Linked DNA regions of Solanum lycopersicum. The main gene of each other region encodes a partner of the protein of the gene in region 4 in a complex. Links are inferred from orthologs where the notes say so. Each region holds a gene or a part of one and is shown on either strand. Other genes may lie near its edges.

The links. Proteins that work in one complex are often made in the same cells at the same time.
Region 1: protein TIC 40, chloroplastic (region 4) and protein TIC 22, chloroplastic share a complex: the UniProt entries of both Arabidopsis thaliana proteins name them as parts of the tic complex. The link is inferred for Solanum lycopersicum from reciprocal best matches to the Arabidopsis thaliana genes TIC40 and Tic22-IV.
Region 2: protein TIC 40, chloroplastic (region 4) and protein TIC110, chloroplastic share a complex: the UniProt entries of both Arabidopsis thaliana proteins name them as parts of the tic complex. The link is inferred for Solanum lycopersicum from reciprocal best matches to the Arabidopsis thaliana genes TIC40 and TIC110.
Region 3: protein TIC 40, chloroplastic (region 4) and protein TIC 20-II, chloroplastic share a complex: the UniProt entries of both Arabidopsis thaliana proteins name them as parts of the tic complex. The link is inferred for Solanum lycopersicum from reciprocal best matches to the Arabidopsis thaliana genes TIC40 and Tic20-II.

What each region holds. Positions count from the first base shown.
Region 1 is NC_090803.1:65,446,912-65,453,508, reverse strand, and holds the start of protein TIC 22, chloroplastic, read left to right. Parts: upstream 1-2,813; 5' UTR 2,814-2,926; coding exon 2,927-3,364; intron 3,365-3,746; coding exon 3,747-3,809; intron 3,810-4,815; coding exon 4,816-4,890; intron 4,891-5,408; coding exon 5,409-5,459; intron 5,460-5,648; coding exon 5,649-5,708; intron 5,709-5,816; coding exon 5,817-5,882; intron 5,883-6,572; coding exon 6,573-6,597. UniProt on the Arabidopsis thaliana protein: Involved in protein precursor import into chloroplasts. Imported into the intermembrane space via the Toc translocon. May be involved in the import pathway used by proteins without a cleavable N-terminal pre-sequence.
Region 2 is NC_090808.1:26,783,854-26,790,235, reverse strand, and holds the start of protein TIC110, chloroplastic, read right to left. Parts: upstream 3,785-6,382; 5' UTR 3,641-3,784; coding exon 3,135-3,640; intron 2,917-3,134; coding exon 2,857-2,916; intron 2,197-2,856; coding exon 2,073-2,196; intron 1,939-2,072; coding exon 1,870-1,938; intron 1,773-1,869; coding exon 1,674-1,772; intron 1,462-1,673; coding exon 1,395-1,461; intron 734-1,394; coding exon 669-733; intron 486-668; coding exon 391-485; intron 209-390; coding exon 81-208; intron 1-80. UniProt on the Arabidopsis thaliana protein: Involved in protein precursor import into chloroplasts. Forms a voltage-dependent cation-selective channel at the inner envelope of chloroplasts, which specifically responds to a transit peptide.
Region 3 is NC_090810.1:3,714,899-3,719,787, forward strand, and holds protein TIC 20-II, chloroplastic, read right to left. Parts: upstream 2,210-4,889; 5' UTR 2,173-2,209; coding exon 1,558-2,172; 3' UTR 1,485-1,557; downstream 1-1,484. Other genes in the region: pentatricopeptide repeat-containing protein At4g39952, mitochondrial, read left to right, coding at 1-792; membrane-associated protein VIPP1, chloroplastic, read right to left, coding at 3,647-3,766, 4,602-4,676. UniProt on the Arabidopsis thaliana protein: May be involved in protein precursor import into chloroplasts. Not redundant with TIC20-I, TIC20-IV or TIC20-V.
Region 4 is NC_090810.1:11,553,295-11,559,708, reverse strand, and holds the start of protein TIC 40, chloroplastic, read left to right. Parts: upstream 1-2,788; 5' UTR 2,789-2,984; coding exon 2,985-3,180; intron 3,181-6,414. UniProt on the Arabidopsis thaliana protein: Involved in protein precursor import into chloroplasts. Part of the motor complex consisting of a co-chaperone (TIC40) and a chaperone (HSP93) associated with the import channel (TIC110).

The DNA of each region.
Region 1 (6,597 bases), on a different chromosome or scaffold from region 4:
ATTGTTGTATACCTTGCCATTGCGTTCCAAAAACATTTTAAGTCATAAAACAGGGTTTTCTTGACAGAACAGAAATAAGTCATAAAATAGAATTTTCATCAAGAATAGCAATACTTCTAAACTGAAAAAGGATAAACAATCATAAAAAAGAAAACCCAGTTGAGATTCTTGTATACCTTGTCATTCCGTCCCAAAAACATTTTTCGTGGAATCTTCATTTTTGAGTAACAGTTGAAGATTAGCTTTGATTTCTTTAAACTCTTCAACGTATGAAGAACTGTTTTTATCAATTTCTTGATTCTCAATTACTTGATCAATTGCTTCAGTCAGCCTGATACTTTCATTCGAAATTTTGTAGAGCTCAGGTACTTGATCCTTATTCATTTTCACAAGAAATTTTGAACCAAAGAAGATGAAAGATTTGTGTTTTTTTTTTAAATATGAAACTGGCGCCTCTGTGAGAGAGAACGCAGTTTATTAAAACAAACCCATCATTTGTGAAATGTATACGTATATATATACATAATAAAATCAGTGTAGAAGTATGAAATGTCGAAAAAAAATATCAAACTAATGGCATAATTATACTTTGGACAACCAAACAGTACCCATGTACTTACATTATGATATATAACAAACGAATATATCATCCTTTGGAGGTGTTTAAAATGATTTAAAAGAGTTTAAGCGTTAAGTTGGTAAAGACATGAGTTGACAATCCGAGTCAAGTATAAAAATCTCACAGTATGTGAATACTTTTTAGAAAAGATCCAAAGAAAATTGAAAAAACTTAAAAATATGAAAACACCTCGAGGTTGTAAAATTTGATTGTTATTGATTTAGTTTGTATTTGAAAATTTTGAATCAATTTAGACTATGTACATGAGCTCTATATATGCAAACCTATGTACTAAGGGGTCGTTTGGTTGGAAGACAAGTTATGGTACAATTAGATATATTAGGAGTACGAAAAATTAATGAATTGAATAATTTTGCACAATACATAAATATGTCCTTTAATTTGGCTTCAAATCACATTTATGTCTTTCAACTTTGGGTGTGCACAAGTAGACACTTAAACTTATATAAAGTTGAACAAATAGACACACATGTCCTACATGTCATTTTTTGTCCAACGTGGTGTCCTACATGTATTTTGCCATGTAGGACTCATGTGTTTTAAAAAAATTTGATAGTTAAAGTGTATGTTTGTGCATAATGAAAGTTGAAGGTCAAAGTTAAAATTTGAAGCCAAGTTTAGAATCCAATGTATGTATTATGCCAATAATATTTAAAGAATAATTTGTTTGTTTACAAAAATACCCTCCATCATTTAAAATAGAAAATAGTTTGAAGAACATCTATTATTCCACTCTCGAAATAACTTTTCATGATACTATTAATTATTATTATTCTTGCTATTATAATCAAATAATGGATAAGAATAATTAAACGATCTCTAATGATCGTTTTGGTAGTTGGTTAGAGTTATGCATTGATATCTATTAGTAATGTAGTGATTATTTATGAATTAGTCGATCCATTATTTTATGCAGATATGAGTTATTCGTGTATTAGTTATCCATAAGACATACATTAGATTATTAGAATTAATTATTCCACTTTCTATTATGCATTAAATAATAAATAGATTTCATCATAAGTTATACATGTATTAATTGTGCAGATTTCTTAACTGTCAACTAAACATTGTATTAATTTTGTACATGTATAATTTATTTTCTATGATTTTATCCACCTACTAAACATGTATAAGTTGTACAAAAATTAATATGAGTAACTTGTTTCTCATCCAGCTTCCAATCACTTATATACATGTAATTATTTTCATTATTTGTGTCTATGTAAACATAATTTGACATGAGATTGAAGTCTCAGTCTAATAGTTACAAGTAACAACTTTAACTTGCATGTAAATGCCAAGTCTAAAAACAATATGCGTACGAATATATGTTTTTCAGGTCATTAGAAACTTTTTATGTACTATCGAACAATAATTTGGTGAATATAAAATGGAGGTTATTTGAGTTAATAAGCTTTGATTATTTTTTTATTGTTGCATCTTTGTGGTTTATACTAGGTCTTACTCCAACTAAATAACTTATGAAACAATGCAGATAAGAAATTAATTGTGTCAACTTTGTACTATACAAGTTACATGAAAATTAATTGAGAAGTCATCCCTATATTTAATTACTTTATGGAGAATCGAAAAGGATCAAATTTGTTTTTGAACTATGCAATTAAAACAAATTTGTCATTCATTACTATGAAGGTCAAATATGTCCTTGTCGTTACTAAAATGGGCTAAATTTGCCCTCGTTACCCCTCCTATTCTATTTTACAAGCACGTAGTAATAAACAAAGATCTCAAAAGTTTATTTTTTAATGAAAAAACACCACACTTGGCTTCAAGTTGCTTGATCTTGCATTTGATGTTTGTGAACAAAACGACCAGATATGTTCAAATTTGACCTCAATTGGCAAGTTAACACTTTAACTTTGAGTATGCACATCTAGATACTTCGACTCATCTTTAGCGTCCAGCTTTGTAAGTAATCATCTAGACACCTCTAAAATTTACATGTCACATCAGCATCAAGTGTCCACGGAAAATAGAGGGGTTGTTAGTTGAGATCAAATTGAGTTCAATAGATATTTTTACTTAATAGTTGAGATCAAGTTTGAGTGTGCCTATTTATATCTTATGCCGATATTCTTTATATAATATTTGTATATAAACTAGACAAACGAGACTATTATATATTGTGATTTGTGATGGATGGGCCTTTAGTAGATGGATTAGTAATAATAATAATTGGACCTAATGTGAACCGAAAGCCCAAACTTGAAATACGAAAGCCTTCTTCTCCGAATCCTCTTCCCCTTTCTCTGTAAACAATCAATGGAGTCCAAACCCTCAAGCGGATTCGGACCCTCCAGTAGTCCTCTACTGTCTCTCTCCACCTTCGTCCACCAGCACTGCTCCCGACTCGGTGCTGAACTCGCTAACCGATTCGACGAAGCGAAACGGCTGAGTTCTAAAATCGCCGCCGATTTTATGCAGCAGCCGCTGCCAGCGGCGATAGGGAGGAGTTGTTCGTTGCCGTTGCATTCTTATCATCTATCTCTTCCGTTCGCTTCGGTGTCGCAGCGTCAAGAGAAGGTCGCTAAAAATACCGGTTTGAGCTCGGATTATGTTGCTAAGACATTAACTGGAACTTCTGTATACACAGTTAGCAATTCTAACAATGAATTCGTGCTCATTTCGGACCCGAATAGTGCGAAGTCAATCGGATTATTGTGCTTCCGTCAAGAGGACGCCGAGGCATTTCTTGCTCAGGTGAACTTCATTTTTTAAAATGAATTTATCGAATTTTTTCTCTATAGAAGAGAGTGAAAGGAGAGATGAACTCCTTTATCAAAGTAGGGTAGCAGGAAGGGGAAAAGATATGTATAAATTAGCCCAAAAGAGAAAACTAAGTTAAAGATGATTGCTTTAAAAGAAATTATTGGGTAATTATCATTGGAACATTGCCTTCAAAGGTCAAATTATTTATTTTTGGGATGTATTGAACCTGAATATAGTGGAATTGATACATAAGATAGCAGATACAGAAGACATAATGTGGACCTTATTAGTTTGCAATTGAGGCGTTGTTATAGAAGTTTTGATATACATGGAAGGCTTGTTTGTGGAGAAATGAACACGTGAAGATTTTCAGGTACGGTTGCGGAAGAAGGAAGTGAGAGGTGGAGCTAAGGTAGTTCCGTTGACACTTGATCAGGTGAATTTTTGTTTCCTTTTGCTAGGAATTTTTCTTTTAAGGATGTATCTGCTTTGGTGATTATTTTCTTCTTTCCTTTTAAAAGTTTGTACATTCATTTGAAAAGAATTGCAAACTTTAGGAGTGACATTAGATTACTCTATGGAGAAGGCCATTTTCTTGTTTTAAGGATTGAACTTTAGCAAAATTTTAGTACCATGAAAGTGTCTGGTAATAGATATGGTATTTGTGATGGACAGTTTTGTCTCTAGTGCTTATCAAGATTGGTTGGTGGAAAGTCAGAAGCTACTGATGATCGACTTGTGTGTATATGTACAATCTATTTCTTTGCATATATTGATAACTTCTTCTTGCAAGAATGGGTATAAACTTTGATGGTTATTGAATCGTCCCTTATTAGTTAAAGAAGTGTTGGATTCAAATACAGCAGAATGGAGATACCGATCCTAACTTGTTTAGATTGACACATAGTTGATTGATTGAATCAAAACAGAGCATGCATGGTATTTAGCATAAGCAATGGAGTCTTTTCAAACGCACCCCTTGAGATAAGGCTCGATTAGATTACCTGACCATCTCAGGTTAAGATTAATTTACTGAGCCATTTTCCTTTACCATTCCTTTTAGTGATTTCTTCTCTTTTACATCATTAAGATAAATTGTATGCATTATTGATACATTTTGTATCTCTTGTTCATCCATAAAAAAGGGGATCCTATCGTGCTCCTTTTGAGCCTCAGACGTCTGATCTGTCCCGTTTAATATATCTTCTTCTGCTATTAAATTAAAAAGAAAAAATTGAAGCTTAACTTAAGAATGAAAGACATTTTTGTCTCTATTTAACAGGTCCAGTGTACATTAAATAATCTACTGCAACTAGTTGCAGTTGTCTGTATGTGCAAGAATTTCTGTTTTTTGCTTTTCCATTTCTTCCTAAAGGTGTTGCCAGGCACTTGTCCCGTATTTTGAATAGTTACACGTCTTTCTTGTTGGTATCACTTTGCAGGTTTACATGTTGAAGGTTGAAGGAATCGCATTTCGTTTTTTGCCAGATCCTGTTCAAATTAAGAATGCAATGGAGGTAGTTACCCATGTTGGTCATCCTTAAGTTTTGTGTCTGGGATCCTTGTAATTTCCACTGAATGTAGTAGAATTGCACAAGGACGCCTGTTCAGTTGTGCAAGTGAAAGTTATACTGTATATGTATATTCATCTACCTGTGATAGTTTTACGTGAAAGTACACTGGCATGTAGCTTTAACTAATGACCAGATTCCAGAGGTGGTAGAATTGCTTGCAACCCATCAATTTTTGAGGTCCACTGACATACCCTTGTTTTTTCTTCTCTTTACTGTTAATTCAAATATTTCCAAAATGGAGGTCTTTTCGAGATTTGAACTTGGGTTACTGACATGCCTGGTATGTAGGCTCTTGCTCACTAGTCTAGTAAATGAAGCATAGATTATTAATGGCTTGACCTCCATTGCCACCCAACTTCTGTCTCCTCCTCCTGGAAATATCTATTTGGCTAAACATAATATTTCAATGCATGCTTATTAAAAAAATCTGTTCATCTCAACATTGTCTTTTCCTGTGACAGTTAAAAGCTTCTGATGTAAAGACTGGATTTGATGGAGTCCCTGTTTTCCAGGTAGCATATAAACTTTTTTGCCAACTGTATGCAAAAAAACTCTAACATTACATGCTCAGCCTGTGTATTTTTTGAATTATGAGCCTTCACTCACTGGAAAGCTTTTGCTAAATATTTTGTATATCAGAGAGTGGACTGCTGAATATGGTTAAACTCCGCTTAATTCTGTAGCTTTTTGTTCTTGTGCAGTCAGATCTCCTAGTTGTGAAAAAGAGAAACAGACGATACTGTCCAATATACTTTCGAAAGGTATGTTGGTTTTTAATATCTTGAACTGGAACTAGTCAGAAGAAACAAAAAATTAGATATAGTTATTATTCGTGATGGTTTTCATTGAATTCCTTTTCGGGTATACAGGAGGATATAGAAAAGGAGTTATCATCAAGGGCATTGAGAGGATCTAGTGTCTCTCAGCACATTATGGTATCATAATCACTTTTATCTTTCTGTTTTCTTTCTGATAGGGCGTGCAAATAGATTAAGAATGGTCAAACATGCTAAGAGGTGAATATATGATGTCTCTGAGAACTTACTTTTAGTAAGTGTTTTGGAGTAAATTTCATTCGCATTGATCTCTCTTTTATCAAGTGTAACATTGTCTGAATGCGTAGAGGATTTAAAAAATTGAATTTACGTGCTACAGGTTTCACTTGGAGAGCCTAACATTGTAAATTTTGCATGTAATGGAGAGGATTAATGGTTGAAAGTTTTTACTTGAAAAATATAGCCGAGTCTCCTTAGTCAATTATCATGTTAATGTAAAATCTCTTACTTCAATTACAAGAAGGAAACAGAGTTAAGAACCCTGAAAGAGGTTTGATGTATGTTAAGGACATTAATGCTTTGCTGTTTAAAATCTTTTGTATGTAAAAAATCACCTTGCCAATCCTCTTACAGTCAGTATCTTTTTTGTAAGTTATCAAAAGAAAAGTGTTTCTTTTCCATTCCAAAGATTCCTATCGGACTATCATAGGGGCTTGCTTGTCCATGAAAATACAAGGTTTACTGGCTTTTCTGTATCCGTCAAGATTTTTTGTCATCTGACCCGTCATTGTAACAAGAGACTATATCGGCTAACGTTAACTTGCTAGTATTCTTTTTCTTTATTTACAGGTAGGGACTTTGGAAGATGTCCTGA
Region 2 (6,382 bases), on a different chromosome or scaffold from region 4:
TTCACTTGAGACTTGATAGAAACCCGCAACTTCTAACAAGTTCTATAAAAAGAGTCAGACAAGATCATCGACGTACATACCTACTAAGGAAACTGGCCCAATGCCAGGAGCAAAGCGACTAGCATCAGCATGGTTCTTCAATGAGATTAGCAAATTATTATATGACAATACCTTATCAAGTTCCTCAATGACACGCGTGGGTTCCCTGCTAAACAAACCCAATCAGTTTGAATTAAACAAATGATACAAGCAAAGAATATGATACATTCTGTCTTGCTAGAAATTATAGGAGCAGTCCCATTTCTATTAACTAGAATTGCTTGGTAAAAAATTTATCCAGTAAAATGGAAGTTCCCTTTTAAGAGGTTAAATATACTTAAAAGACCTTACGTTGCTCTTGTCCTTGACTTCAATATGCCAACAGCAGTTGATATGATTTCCTCAACAAGCTTTCTTGCATGCTCCTTAAGCATCTCATGTGCAAGCTGCAAACAGAAAGAAATGGACATGATTGTGCATATATTTGATGACAGAATACATGGACAAAGTAAATTCAATCATGAATATTGTGCAACAAATTCATAGCAATCTTATCTCCTTTTTCGAGGAGAAAAAGGTATTTCTACAGGGATATGAAGCAGAATTATGATAATTTTTTTAGGCACTACCTCATCGGACAATCGATATGCAAGCTGTGCTTCTCTCAAACTGATCAGCTGGTTCACATCAATATCTGGAACAGGTAAAGTAATTAAATTAACCATGCAAAACCACTGAAGTGCAGTGCAGGAATTAAATCATGAAAAGAAACAAGTGATATCACCCTGACACCGCCACAAGTCCATAACATAGAATTTCAAGGTAGATGCTACTAAGAGTGGAGTTCGTGAAGATAATGAAAGAATTAGCATTTTCCATATAAGATTGGTGGAATCATACAAAGACTCCCTCTACTCTAAGCAATAACGAGATGTCCAGATTCAAGAGCTATCGTCAGAAGGCTCTCAAAACCCATAAACCAATAGGATATATCACTAAAATGCAAAGAAATTTGAAGCGACAGAAAGACTTCAAAAAAGTCTCTACTCAGTGCATGAATAGAACATACTAAACCCATGCCACATATGTGGAGCCTCATGGTATGATTCATCTTTGTTCAGGATTAAGCACCACATACCACAAAAAAGCCAAATTTAAGCACATATACAGATTTATTAGAATCAGTTTAATAGAGATCGAAAATTTTAGAAAACATACCCAAGAATATCGACAAGTAGTTTGGAAGAGCATTAGTTTAATTAGGTATGCAAAAGAAAACTAGTAAAATGGTTTCCTATGAATAGGTTACGTTAGAAGTAAAAGTGCCTTCAAAGGCATCAATAGAGAAAACTTACCTCGCCCAACAGACTTAAGCTTGGAGGCATACAACCGTTGTGCATTGTCCCTGACAGCAACATCAACCTAATGGCAAAAATGTTAAAACGAGTAAAAGGACACAGGGGGTCGCACTATATAGAAATCTAATATTACATAAATGAAGGGGGCAGGGAAAGAGACAAATGACAGGAACCTCAAATCAAAATACAGAAATGTTAAAACCACACAAGCAGGACATGCCACTGCACAATCTGAATACTCCACAAAGAGGGAGAGAGTGATAAATAATCCGCTACCTGGGCATCAGTAACCTTGAAAACACGTTTCCAAGGTAAAAGGAAAGCAGATGATTCTCCAAATACAAGAGTTGAGACATATATCAACTTCTGAAATGCCTGGAGAAGTCAAAAATGATCAAGTTCCATTTGTTGTTATTCGATAACTTAAGGCAGTAGTCTTTGGAAACTGAAGCTTTTTGAAGAGATGACCCACCCGACGTTGCTCCATATCTCCATCACGATCTCCCGTTTCAAGTCTTTGCCTGAAGATTCGCCTACCAATCTGAGAGATCAACATGTAAGAGTTTCTTAATACTTGGTAAATTATTTGATAACATAACATTTTAACTTTGAGCCAACCACAGCTAGAAGTTTTACAACTCTTAGGTACAGAATCAGATGGATACTTCAAGTTACCTCCATATGCATATCTGCTGCATCTGGATCATCAATTCCCAATGCATTTTTAAATTTGATTATTGTATCAACTTCATCGCCTCTAAGTTCTTCAGTACTAGCAGGAAGGACAGCAGATATATACCTGAACACAAACAAAATTGGATGCATATGTGACGGTAGATAAGCTGACAATGTTTAAACTACCAAGTTAGTCATTCCTTGTCATTGGTAGATAAAATAGTCAAAAACATTCAAATTTCAAGATAAACATTATAAATGGATCAGAGAAACACTATGCTTGATTCCCTTTAGGTGTCCAAGACAAGTATCACAACAGGATGGACAGTTTTCCATTCAAATGTAACTGGGTCAATATGTCAAGACAAGGTTAGAAAATTTGACACTTTCTGGGTCATAAAGAACTAAAATATTATAGAAAACTAGAAAAGTATGTGGAAGAAGTTGTAATTCCAGAAAGGTGACAGTATTTTCCTTCTTTTTTTGATTTGCAAAACTTGACACACTTTGGGACACATCTTGGGAATGGAAGAACAATAAATTTATTCTACAAAGTGCAAAAGCCATACTTTATCCTACAAAGTGCTTCAAAGGGTAAAATTTAGTTATTTATATCCAAGCAAGCAATTCATAAAAAGAAAAATTTGTCATTCGAGAGTCAGGGAGAAGAAACCAAAAATGAAAAAAAAGAGATTATCATATAACATTGAAAAATTGTAATAAATGCAAGTTTCGTGTCAGCCGTAAGAGTTTTTAAGAAATCAGTACTTGATTTTGCACTCACCGGCAATATATATCTCGCAGCTCCGCATTGAATGCCTCATTCTGTTTGCTGACACCATACCTTAAAGATAAAAAGCAGTAAATTGGTAAGGAAAAGACGTAGAAAAATAAGTATGAGAAAGTTGGGTGTGAGAGCTCATAATGTAGCTAAATAGTCCAAGATTCTGCAGTAGAGAATAACTTGCTCACACTTGGTATCTAATTTAATTAGTCACTGATAACACATATATATATTTTTTTTTTAAAAAAAAAAAAGCCAAATGTGCATAGTGGACAAACTTATTGGCAATTGATTCAATATCTTCCTTGTTCAAGGCAGCAGGGTTGTCAAAATCAGCGACATAGTTATGCAAATTAATAGCAGCAACTTGAGGAGCGCAAGAATTCAATGCATAAGCAGCGCCGGCACCAGCAGCACCAAAAGCAATAGCACCACCAAGCCCAGCATTCCGGGATCCACCAAAACGAAGACCAAGACCGTATCCAGCAGCAATAGCAGCAGCAAATATCAAAGCGGAGCTGGCTATTCTTATGGGGGGTGACATGGCATCAACAAGGGATTGAATAGGAGAAAGTTCCTTTTTACCTCCAAAGACATCTGGGTTGACGGAAGTAGGTTTGTGCTGAAGAGAGGCAGATGAAGATGAAATGACGGTGGACTGAATGCGGCGTTTTAGGTAGAATTTAGGGGTAAGACGGAGAGGTGTAGGATTGAGAAATTGAGAGCGGAAAGTGTTGACAGGAGGAGGTTGATTGATAGGGAGGAGAAGTGATGATGGGTTCATATCTACTACCTCTTCTAATAACTAGTTGATGTTCAAGTAGGGTTTAACCAAGTCGTCCGGAGTTTGGAACTAGGAAGAAGAAGAAGAGGATAGGGGTCTGAGGGGGTACAAGTTGAATAATAAAGGTTTGTTTGTTTTTTTGGAATAACATAGGTTTATTATCTTGTAATTGGGTCAACATAATATTATTTGTCATTTGCCGCATTTCAACACCAATGAATTGTTATATTTGTAAATCGATAAACGATATTAAAATTGTATAAACCAAAGTAGTTTACACATAAAAATATGTTTTTGGCCAAAAACTCGTTATATGTATGTAGTTTTATAAATTAATCAACAAAATAATAAGAAAATATATATATCAACAAATAATACATACAACTAAGATCAAAAATGTCATGTGATGATATATTTGTTTTTTCAATTAGTAAATGTTAAACAACTAACATTTTTAAATATTGCATTGACTTGTATTGAATTTATTTAGTAACAAACAACTCTTTCTAAATAAATTAAATTTATAAGCTAATTTAATTAAATAAAATTATGAGTACACATATAAAAGAAAAATCAAGAAAATAAATAAAATTGTCACGATGCAAAGTATCCCTAGGCGCGACATGGCGAATGAAACACCAAGAGGCTATAAACAAATTAAACTACTTGACATGAGTATGACATAATAAAGACAATCCAAAAGATATAATCAATATAAGTTGTAAATCTACCAATGGCATAAAAGATACCAACATAGTACATAAGGGAATACATGGAACATTGTCTATGTTTGACAAGTCCTCTATTAATCATAATGTGACTAGAACATGAACTTCTACGCCACGAATAATATCTAAAAATTGAAAAGATTAGAAACGATAAAGCCAGTGATGACCTAGCCCTCGAACTATGAAGAGTCACTAATCAATAGTAGCAGCAGTTGACTGATAACGCTCAAATCACTATCAGTAAAACTTAGCGAAAAGTACGGATAGAATCCCACATGGAATGATATATAGTGGAGAATTCCTTATCAAGAAATTTGGAGTTTAATTTAACACATTTGTAATAGTAAGAACAATAGGGTGGATAATACAATCAACTTAATATAAAGCTTAGGTTATCAATTATTGAAATTGAACTAAAATATAGATGAATCCAAGAGTTAACAAGCAATGTAGGGATGCGGGGATTGGAATGGGTGATTGTGCTGCTTTATAGAGATGAAAATTCATGAATATGCTAAGTCATCTTCATTGACGTTAATTATCTTTGATCTCAAAGCATCTATGCATAGAATCTTCTTTCGGACTCATCTAAATGTCAATTTAAACAACTCAATACCCTACTCTATTCTTTCTTTCAAGAACAAAGAAATAGATCCAACTCATAACCTTTTTTCAAGCAAGTTACAAACATCAAACCTAAATTGCTAGTATTAAACTAATTACCCACTTCAATCTCTTTCGAGCATCAACCAGAGATCAGATGTAGGAATTAAGTTTGCAGCCTTAACCTTCAAGTTAAACCTATGGTAATTAGATCAAATTCTTGTATGAACAACAACAAAACAGAGCATAAAACAATACTCTGCACATTAAATCAACACTCAACTCCATTTGAGCACTCCTAGATCTTGGGGTTTTGACCAATCATCACAAAATATAAAGAATGTATGCATTCCATGAAAGCAGTCATGGATAACTTGAAATTAAGCAATTAAGAGTAAACTCACTTTAGGTTCAACTTCAATTTATCAACATTAAGCACCAAGTTGTAAAACCTCCAAAACTAGAAAAGTGTTCTTTAAAGGTAAAGTGTTCTCAAACTCTCAACCTTATTTTCCAAAGAGAACTTTTGGAACTCAAAACGAAACTCTATGTATCATTTGGCTATTTATACTGTAACAACCCTAAAAATGTATAAGATAAGTAATGCATAATGTGTCTAGAATTTCTACGATTAGATCGGATTCACACGGATTGATGCGCGTAGAACCAGGCCTCTGAACCCTTGCAACAGACAAGACAAATAAATTGGGGATTTAGTTGAGCTAGGAAAGATTGGGTCCAGACATGTAGGGCTCCCGAATATGAAGATTTACCCGGATGAGTCTTTATCGAACTTAAAAAGGAGAAATCTTAAGTTTGGAGGGTCTAGGGGTAAAATGACCTTTTTCCAGGCTAAGGGTAATATCATAATTACCCTAAATATATATTTAATTATTTAATTAATAAGGTGGTGGGGCATTTTGGGAAGAGAGGGCCGAAAATGGGTTCTAAGAGTAAAGTCTTGCTCCACTCGGGTTCGAACCTAGGTGGAAGCAATGAATTAAATTATTTTTATTTAAGTGGATAAATTAATGTAATTAATTAATATTATTTAACTAATGACTGATCAAAAAAAGGGGAAATTAGATTTTTAGTTGTTGATTATTACTTATTAACTTAAATTGACTAAGCCTTGCCAACTATCCTAGTTTTAAGGGGCACTATCTCACACAAACTCTCTCACATGCCTAAACCCCTCTCTCTCTCTCTTCCATTTTGCTTTCTTGGCTGCGAAAACAAAAAACAAAACATTAGAAAACAATCAAAAGTTCTCTACACTCAAAGAACTTATAAAAAAAATATACAAACAAGCAAGCTAACTTAAGAAACGAAAATTTTACATCATCTTCTCGACGGGATTGTGTTGAAGGTTTAGCGGAGGATTTGGGCAGCACCTCCAAGGGAAATTTCT
Region 3 (4,889 bases), about 7.8 Mb from region 4:
AACATTGCGGAGGCTTTTGGTCTTTTTGATGAGATGAGAGCAGAAAGTTACAAGCCTAATATTGCAACGCTGGTGATTTTGCTCTCCGCTTCTTCTCAAGTGTCTTCCCTGGAGAAAGGAGAGAAAGTTCATCAATACATCAAGGAAGTTGGGTTCGGAAATAATACTTTGCTTGATACTGCATTGACTGATATGTACGCAAAATGTGGACAGCTAACAAAGTCCAGAGAAATATTTGATTCAATGGAAAAGAAAGACATCGTTTCTTGGAACGTACTGATATCAGGCTATGCTATGTATGGAGAAGCAAATGATGCTATAGAAATGTTCAAAAACATGGAACAGACGGAAATTAAGCCGAATGAACTTACTTTTCTTGCTGTGCTCTCAGCGTGTGCTCATGCAGGGCTGGTTGAAGAAGGAAAGTCCATATTTAGTCGAATGAAAGATTATTCGTTGATGCCCACACTGAAGCACTATTCTTGTATGGTTGATCTTCTTGGTCGTTCTGGTAATCTGGATGACGCTGAAACTTTGGTTTTGTCCATGCCAATAGCTCGAGATGCAGCTATCTGGGGTTCTTTACTAAGTTCTTGTAAACTTCACAGTCAGGTTGAGAAGGGTATAAGAATCGCAAAACATGCTATTGAGTCTGATCCGGAAAATGATGGGTACTACATCTCAATCTCAGACCTATATAGTTGTGTAGGAATGTGGGAAGAGGTAGAAATGGTGAGGAAAATAATGAAAGACAGGAAAGTGAGGAAAGAAGTTGGCTGGAGTACTGTATAGTTTACGCAGCGACTTGTTGGGAGTCTATTAGCAACTCAAGTTATGGTAGTTCTAATGTGATGAAGATTTGGCGCGATTAAAGGTTTTACACTTGCAAGAGTCGTTCAATTAGAGCTCCCTAATTTGCTTCACCAGAAGAATGAATGATCCTATGGTTACATTGAGATGGTTTTCAGGTTATGAAGCCCTATCGTTTTTCTGGTCAATGATAGTATTCTGGTTTTGGCCTTGCATGATGAACAAAATGTAGTTTTATTATTCTTTGTTGAAGTTCAACCCTTTAACAATGTAACTTACGACAACAGAAACAACATAGTCAGCGTAATCCCACAAGTGGGATCTGAGGAGGACAATGTATGATATGCATGTAGACCAAACCTTGAAAAGTGTTGATATAAGCAAAGGAATTATATTCTCTATTCAACAAAAGCCATTGATATTCCTTAGAGATCGTTTGATAGCTGATAAAGAAACAATGTATTATTGAAAACCCATTATTACTAGTACATTTACGAGTTGTTCGGTGTGAAGTATAACGTGTAATGATTCCATTACAAAATCAAGATATTATTATTTATCCCAAGAAGTTACTTTATCAAGATTTGAACTTTACGAGCCCTTTCCATTGCATCTCTCATGGAGAAACATCTCATCGACGATTCGATTTAAAATATCATACATTAAAATTACAATTCTATGCAACAAAAACCTTCCTTTCATTAGAGAAAACCACAAAACAACATATTAAATAAATTTTAAAAAGAACTACATTTGCCTATTAGCAGCTTCAGTAACAAAAGGCAAATAAGGAGTTTTTCCAAGTATAGAAGAAACAAGCCCATAAATAAAACAGCCCACAACAAACACAAAAAGCCCATTATGCATCCAAACCGTAAATTTCAGCCCAATACCCGATTGACCCGGTGAAAATATCCTCTGAATCAACATCGGAAGCACCAGTAGAACGTCGAGCACCACCGCTTGCAGGGCGTTGAACCGGGGGTACTTGTTCAGATTCTCGTTCCGAACAATACCTAAGTAGAGTGCAAAGAAAGTGACAAAGCTAGCGTATGGGAGGGACCGGTAGAGTGATAGAAGAGGGAGAATTGGTTGAAATGGAAGAGCTAGGGTTGGGTATTGAGCGAAGAGGAAACGGCCGTATTGAAGGCCGTTGAAGAAGGGGAGAAAGTAAGCGACGGCGGAGATAAGGCGGTCGGTGGCGGGGATTGGGTTGTAAGAGGCGGAGATGGAAGTGGTGGGTTTGGTATGGATACGGGTTCGGGTTTGAATACGGGTTTGGAGTAAATTGAGGCTGAGAGGGTGGGGGAGAAGACGAGGGGTAGTAGTGGGAGTGAAACGGAGAAGAGGAATGGAAGCCATTTTTAGGGGAAATGTGAGGTTTTTTTTGGGTGTTTATAAAGATGGATTTTTGTTGTTTGAGGTACAAGTTGTAATGCATTATTTTGATTAAAAAATTAGAAAAAAAATAATTTCCGTTGCCGGGACTTGAACCCGGGTCTCTCGGGTGAGAGCCGAGTATCCTAACCAACTAGACTACAACGGATTATTGATTGATCAACGAGTAATTTTCAATATAGCTCGTTGTGCGTCGCCACCTCTCAAATATCATATAGGTTCAATTAAGATTGTGTGAAGTTCTTTGTCAGTTGGTTGTTATGTTATGTGTTGCCACCTCTCATCTGTACATTCGATTAAAGTTGTTGTGAAGTTCAGGATTAATCAATTGATTGTTGTGTGTTGCCATCTCTAACTTATCGTACACATTTAAGTTATAGTTGAGGTACATAGGGTCTTATCGTCTATCCGTTCAGTTAGGGCTACATATCGAACACTTCGGCTTTGAAGTTTATCGATTTGACTTATTAGTTATCGATTTGTAGATATGCTAAACGGTTGTAGAACCATTAAGATTAGCTTATCAGTTATTGATCGTTCGGTTCGATAATTTATTTAACCGTTAAGTTTGACAAAAAAACACATTGAAAATCACTTTAGAACAAGGTGGCAAACCAATTTAACCATGCACATGAATTCACAAGTTTCATCTTGCTCAAAAGCAAACACTTTTACATCGTAGAATAACCAAGTGTTTGAGACAATCAGAAACAAAAGTAGGAAACCAAACTCTAAATTAAGGACTTTATAAGCAAAATGATATGAATATAATTATTTAATTAACCATCGGATTATCAGTTATCCAGTTAAGAGATAACCTCAAAAGATAACCCGATAACAAAAAAAAAATCAAAGCCGTTCTCAAAACCGCTAAACCAATAACTTTTTTTCGATACGGAATATCGGTTCCGATCAATTTTGAACAACCCTACATTCGCTACACCGCATCTTTGCAGAGAACTCAGTTTCACTAAGTTCATGTCAAAGAGAAAGGGACCATCGCTACATTATTCCGAGTAGCTCATTATTTATGAGACAAAAATAAGATTTTGAGGAGGATGGTGTATACACAACCTTGCCCGTACCTTGCGAAGAAAGTTTGAAGCATGTCGTCACAAAATGAGAGCAAAAACAACACTGTGGAAATTCCAAATCTACTACAATGCAACTTGAAGTGACTATTCTCACATGAAAACATTTGGGTGGCAGTATACAAAACTGTAGTCAGGACTAGCTTACACTATATTGCCATAATGTAGGTCAATAATTTGAAAAAAGATATATCAACATATCTCAATATACTTTTTCCAGTTTCACTTCCTATATTCGCTGGCCTTTATCGATGAGGCAACTTCTCGGAAGATCCAAAAGCCACAATCTTTGAGTAACAAATGCCTGAAGGAAGATGTTTTGTAGTGTGAAAGATCGACTGTGATCTCTAGAAGTCATTTGCCCGCCTCCTTAACTCGTTCAATTCTTTTTCAATCTCTGAATCTTGAAATTGTAATGGCGAGCTTGATCTGGTAACTGGTGTTCTCCCCGGTGGAAGATCCCCTTTCTGCTTAGTCAATAAAAGGAAAACATTAAACCAAAATACCTCAGCTCTACATCAACAATAAAGCAGATTATGTTGTTTCTTTTCCTGATAGTTGAGAAAATTCTCCGCGGGCCAATTGAGGCACGGCTTGTGATGTGCCCCTAGCTCACACATTACGTACTACGCTCTTACCACTGGACCAAAGCCTTGGCGGTGGGGGGGGGGGGGGGCACAATAGAGCTAATTATGCGTCCTCAAGTACCTCCCGCACCCTCTCAAGTTGACCAAATATGCACGCTAATTTTCGGTTTTTTCCAAGTAAAAAATAAGAGATTTGCCAAAGCAAGGAAGCAACAAGCAACATGACCTATAATCATCATAGGTACGTAAAATGTCATGTTAGACTTTCTTTCTTTTAAGGTTGTTCGGACTTCCTTTCTTAATTCGTCGTTGAAGGACACCTTCAAGTTCTTATGAACATCCAAACCAAGCTGCTTTTATGGATAATACAATTTCATGGCTACACAATTAACTTAGCCATAAGTGTGTACAATGGAAAGAAGCAACTCATACTTCGTCTCATCTTATTTACAATATGCAGTTCGATTTATTCAAATTTGACATCACCCATTAACAATATCAGGGAGAAAAAAGAAAATAGCTGGCCAACGTTCGTGATTATTTTCTTCTATCCTAGAAATCCTGTTGCTTGGTATAATTAGCATATTTGGCCAAGCATAGCTCAATTAAGTTTGTCCTCTAGGTGCCCATACTTCTATTAATTCGTGCATTCAACAATGAAGATACATCCAAAACATTTCATATACATTATATGGATAGATCGAGTAGAACTCACCTTGGCGCTTCCGCTCAATTCCTTTTTTAAGCTAGCAAGATCATCATCAACAGAAGAGGTCTCCAGTAATGCAAACTGTCAAAGCAGAATGATCATTTAAGATTAAAAAAATGCAATCCCCTAAGAAGCACTAAATTCTCCCACGAAAGCTTTGCACAATGGAAGTTAAAACGTTGTTTGCAGCACAAGGGAGACACCAAATATTACCATTGCTTCAGGTTTCAACAAACAATGGCAAGAGGAAAATAAGAGGTAATGGCTAGTAACAAAACCAGAAAGATTGAAAGA
Region 4 (6,414 bases):
ATGTGGCCCCTAAAGTTGTTCGTATAATTTACTTAGACACCTCAACTATGACTAATATCTATTAGACACTCTAATATTAATGAATATGAACTTTTTGAACACAAAACGATAAGAAAACTTTTAAAATGTTGTGTGTTGTAATTCACACATTGACTTGAAAAAGTAACCAATAAGATTTCAGAACGTGGCCCAAAATCTAATAAATTTTCATTTTTTTTTAATTCCAACCTTTAATAATTCAAAACATTGATTAACAAAAAGAAGAAAAAAAATTTCTCCCCCAACCCTCCACAGGAACCCACCTGCATACATTTCTTCTTTCTTCCCCTAACGACTGTCATGCCAACACCTCATGCTGCAACAAAAAAGAATGAAAAAAGAAAATCCTCCCCACTCATTTAATTATTTGCACTTTCTTCATTTTCTTCATCTGTTGTCACCCACTATTTTATGTTTCTATGAAGAGATTGATTTTTTCTTTTTATAATAAATTATAAGCTATGGAAATTAGACTAAACACAAATAATGAAATAAATTATGAAGCATGATAAATTAATATTGTGATTATTGTAATTTTTGTGAAAAATTAGTTGATTTTGATAAATTATTTTGAAATGGATGATGAAGAGAAATCGTGAAGATTTAACATGAATTATATCAAATTTTCTTATATTATTTTATAACTTTAATGGCTAGTGATGTTTGTTGACCGAAATGATCCGAAATAAAGATGGACGGAGGTTGCCTTTATAACTTCGATGTCTGATTTTTTCTCATTCTTATAAATTCGATTAACACTTAGCAAATTCAATTTTTTTTCATATAAAGAGCGAAAAATAAAAATGAAGAACCACAACACAGTTTAAAATGATTAAAATGGGGTGAAGAAAACAATTGTTGACATAACCTCCAGGGGTGGTGGTGGGGGTGAGTTTTTTTTCTTTTTGAGTATTATAAGACAATAGTTTGAATAAAAGTTTATTTTTAGTTATTTTAATTAATGTAATGCCAAGTGTCATTAGAAGGAAAAAAGTTACAAGTTTATTATTAATAAAAAAAAGTATGTAAAGAAGTTTGAGACTTCCTCACGCGCTTCGGTGTAGTGAGATGCACTTATTTTGCCACATCAGCATAAAGTGTTCAATAGACACATGTTTTGAATTATTTAGGGCATCTCCAACCCAAACATCAAATTTGGTTCAACTCCATCCACTGCACCAAATAATATTTTTTCTCTCTTTATTATTATTGTATTATTTCTTATTTCATTTATACTTTTTCTTTCTAAAAAATTCGCTACATATAATTTATGTTATTTTCTTTCATAATTGTTTAGTATAAAATTATTTTGTATTATAATTTTTTAAAGGGAAAATGCACAAGTATCCCCTCAATCTATGCCCAAATTTTCAGAAACACACTTATACTATACTAAGATCTTATTACCTTTGAACTTATTTTATAAGTAATTTTCTACCCCTTTTTAGCCTACGTGGCACTAACTTGAAAAAAAAAGTCAACCAACGCTGGATCCACAAGATAGTGCCACGTAGGTCGAAAAGGGGTAGAAAATTATTTATAAAAAGTTCGGGGGAGGGAGGGGGATAATAGGACCTTAGTGTAGTATAAGCGTGTCTCTGAGATTTCGGGCATATGTTGAGGGGGTACTTGTGCACTTATTCCTTTTTTAAACAATATAAATTGCTAGCAAATATTATACATTATACATAATAATGGATAATACAAATAAAAGTGAAAACATTAATGAAATACAATTAAATAAATATTACACAATTAAAAAAATATATTAAAATTCTACATAAATATTCAACTTTCAAGATCGCTTCGGTGTTCCCATAAATGCTCTATTAATACATTACATAGTTCCAAATGAACCATAGAGTTTTGAAATTTAAAGAATTTAAAGAAGAAAATTTATATTAATGGAGTGGATGGTATTGCTGATCCAAATGTTCGTGAATTTGTTCGACAATAACAAAGTCGAATAATGAAAAAAAGAAGTCAACAGTTTCAGCAGTGCAACCACAACCACAATAATTTTCGACTCCATACAATTTATATTTTAATATTATTGATGGATTCAAAAAAAATCTATCAGATTATTAAGTTATTATATACTTTTAAAATTACAATTTATTTTATATTTCAATTTTGATGTATGTCAATTACTACATCATTGAATGTTTATTTTTTTTTGCTATTTTTAAGTACAATATTATTTGTTTAAAAAGTTATATGTTTGTATTTTTAATTTTTGTGAAAATTAATTATAGTTTATATAATTTATAGTAGAATTAACATAAATTTAATTTTTTAGAAAAAAGTTATATAGAAAAGTTAATTTAAAAAAGTAAATTTTATATCTAAAATTTATATTATAAAAATATTACATAAAAAATAATTAAATATAAAAGATATTTAATTAAAATATACAATTTATATAATGTTAATTAAAAATTTGCATAATGAAATAATATTATAATATTCAAAAAGTGAATTTTTATGATGAATAGTGTTACAATATTATTCCACACACCAAATTTGTTGTAGAAATTGGAATAAGTTGAAGCTCAAAATATTAAATTTTACATCAAATATTTAATATTGAATTAAAAATAGTATTAATTATTCAATAGATACAAATCATAGTTAAAATATATAAATGAATTTTTATGTAGACAATTTTAAAAAATTGCAAATGACTTAAGTCAAAAATAAAATATACGTGTAAGTAACACAAATTAGATGGACATTTTACTGAATCTGTGAAAGCTGCTGCGAAACCTATCCATATAACCCGCTCCATTTTCAATTCACAACACTCTTCTCCAGCCGATATCACACTTACACCTCTCTTCTTTGTTGCAAAATAAGCGAAAAGGAGATATCATTTTTGCAGTTCTGATCTTCTTCTTCTGTAATAAGGCGAAGTATCAGCTAAAAATTGAGTATTTTTCAAGGTGATGGAGAACGTAGGTATAGTTTCTTCACCTAAAATGGTATTGGGTCTCTCTTCAAACTCAGTAATTTCAAGCAAACCCTTCTTTGGCCTTCCTCATCTACCCAAAAGACCCTTCAAGAATGGAAGAATTGTCAGACCCACAACTTGTTTTGAAGTGGTTTCTTGTTTTCAGGGTCCAAGGCTCACTAAAAAGATTGGTACTTTCAACTCTTTTATCTACTGCTCAATGTCTTTTTATCTTAAATGTATTCTGTATTTTATTTGAAGTTTCAATTCCTCTTAAAGTAGATTTTATTACCCATAATTAGCTGTTTTTGAAGATAATTTTCGAAATTGTGGTGTTGTGTGCTATTTTTTTTTGTTTATTTAGTAGTTGGAAAGTGCAGTTTTGATTTCCCTTCATTTAAAAATGAATCTTTTATTGAATGCTATGTTACTCTTAAACTTGATTGCATATTATATTAGAAATTATTCATTATGGGTAGTTATTTTTGAAGAGAATTTCTGAATTATGGTTACTAGAGTTGTTTCAAATTCTGTTGGTTGTGTGAAGTGCTCCTTATTCTTATTCTCTATCCCTTGGTCTCCTCTTTGTATGTGTATTGTGTTTATCTGGTTCATCACAGAAAGAGTAGATCTGTTCATTTGCATTATATTTCTTAGAGTTGTTTCTAGATATATTTAGTTGTTAGGGGGTGCACTAGGCTGAGTTTTGATCATGTTAAATTTGCTGTTTCTACTTTCAATAGGACTAGAAACATTTTTTTCTTTCTTAATTTGTTTAAAGCTTGGCTGCATCTCAAACAGGAGTTCAATATTAACAGAAGTTACCTTTTGAGAGAAATATTTGAAATTTCAGTCCTAAAAATGTTTCTTGATTTATTTGCATGTTGGTAGGCATAAATGCCAATTTGTTCATACTAAAATAAGTGAATTGGTGTCTGTGTGGAATAGTTTAAAGTGCGAGTTGTTTCTACGAGGACTGTGACATTCTGCTAGTTAACTCTTGCTTGTGCATATGTTTTGTATTTGGTTGGATAGGACACTTTGTCGATATTGTTTTCTATTTGTAAAACAAGTATACTGCTGTGAACTTTGATGTGAAGAACAGTGGGACGGATAAACTTAATGATAATTCTTTTTGTCTAGTTGCTAATGGATATTAAGTCAGTTCAGTATTTTGTATAGGATTTAGAAAGGCTGCTATGTTTGTGAGGTAACTGTATATGCTGATAGGTTACAAAAGTAAAAAAACTTTTGCAACATTTGACTATGTTAATGGGTAGATGGTAAAACTTACTACCCGAGCTAGAATCGTTATCAAATGCAAATCAAGTATCTTGCAAATGAAGGCTTTTGGTATTAATAGTTTAGATGGTGTCATCTGATAAATGAGTTGTGAATGCCATCAAGAACATGGTGACTGATTTGAAGGTATCTATTGATGAGGTTAATGTGGGTTCTTCCGTAAATGGTACCCCGTACCGGGTTAAAGATATGAATGTATCAAAAAATCACATGTATGCTAATATAATTCATTTTACTGTAAATATTACATAAATATCTCTATGATGCCAGCTTTTGAATTCATTTCAGAATTGAAAGATCTTAAATTTTACAGGCTCCATCTAAAAATAAAAAACTGTTACATGCTGATTTAGTGATTTATAAGGCAAGTAGGACTGGAAACAGAGAAGGAAAATATAGAATAACTGGCTTATAGATGAATTGGCTATATTTCATGAAATTCTCTGCAGCACACCTAAATACTCAAAATTGCACTGCTATGGAAGCTTAATATAGTGGCCTAAAGCTCAAATAGTTTACTAAGAAGAACAATACATAAATATTTTTTTCTTGTTTGATAACTGAGAGATCCCTGCTAATGGTGCACTGTTTGAAACTTGGTGGATAATGGAGTGCCCACCCTTCTCCACTTAAATACCAGGCTTTTGTTGTTTGGATCCATTAGTGCGCCTTACCTAAACATCACAAGTTTTGCTCTCACTACTAGACCAAAGGCCTGGGGATAAAACAATGCATAAATATAAATCTAAAGCTACCAAAAATATGCTACAAGTAAAAAATCTCTAGGATGAAAGATTTTCCCACATCCGGTTGTGTCTGCATCATCCTGCTCTTAATTGATGAAAATCAGTCTCGAGTTTTCTGTTGTTGCCGACGGGTAGTAATATACCCCAACGGAATCCTGCCTATAGGTGCTTATATATTGGGAGGCATGCAACAACAGAGCCAAAAGTCCATTTAGTGCACTTTATGTAGGTATTCATATGCCCTTCACAATAAAGGAAAAAAAGAAAAGGAGAGAGAGCCTAAAATATAGAAGTGTTATCTAAAATATTACAAGCAGAGCATATTTTTGTTGACTAGTAACTATAGTTAAGGGCTCAAAGTGGTTAAGCATATCAAAAATCTAATATACCATTTATAAATGTTTAACTTGGAAATTGATTGTTTTAATTTGTTGAAGAATGATCCCAATATGTAGTATGTTTTTATGTTAGGAAAAAGTTACTAATGGCCTGATGCAGTTGTCAGCTCAAGTTTCTGGATAAGATATTGTTCCCAAAATATATTATAGGATAATGGTAGAGAAAAGATTTGCAGATTGGGGAATTTTGTATTTGTTTATCAAAAAAAGATATTTGTTAAAAGATGGAAGGAAGATCTTTGCGTTTTTAACAAGGCCTTGCTAAGGAAATTGCCGTGAAGATTTAGGATAAAGGAACATGTACTATGGAGAGGTGATATCAACATACATGGATGAATGAAGCAGCATGCTCGGGTAGACTTCAAGAGTTCTAGCTATCAATGGGGTGGGGTGTTGGAGAACAAGAAACATCACGAATCCTTTTAAGTATGCCCTCTTTGCAGGAAAATTATACAGGGAAAGGAAGAGTTATGCATCTCTTTGCGGGTGGGGGATGGATGAAAGGGTAGTTTTTTGCTGGACAGGAGGTGCGAATATAACATGTTAAGGATCACTTCTCCAAAATCTAGAGTTTTTTAACTTAAAAGAGATGATACTAGATCAAGTTCTAAGATCACATGATGTGCATGTTATTTGGGATCTCAAATTTATGAAGGAAATTTTGGGATTGGGACATAGTGGAGTTCCAAAGTCTATTGAAATACTCTACAAGCAAATTTACTGGTAGAGAGCCATGACAATTGGGTGTTAGATAGCAGGAGTCTATTTTTCAGTGAAAAGTTGCTACTGTAAGGTGCTAGCTAGAGCGAAGTTGGATTTCCCTCATCTGTTTGGACGTCTAGAGCTCTTGGAAAGGCTGTTTGTTTGCTTAGAGGATGCGAATTTGACAACCAAAAACTTGAAAAGAGGAGGATTACTTATGTTAGTTAATGCTTCATGTGTGAACCCTTGTGTAGGACATGGGATATCTCTTACTACA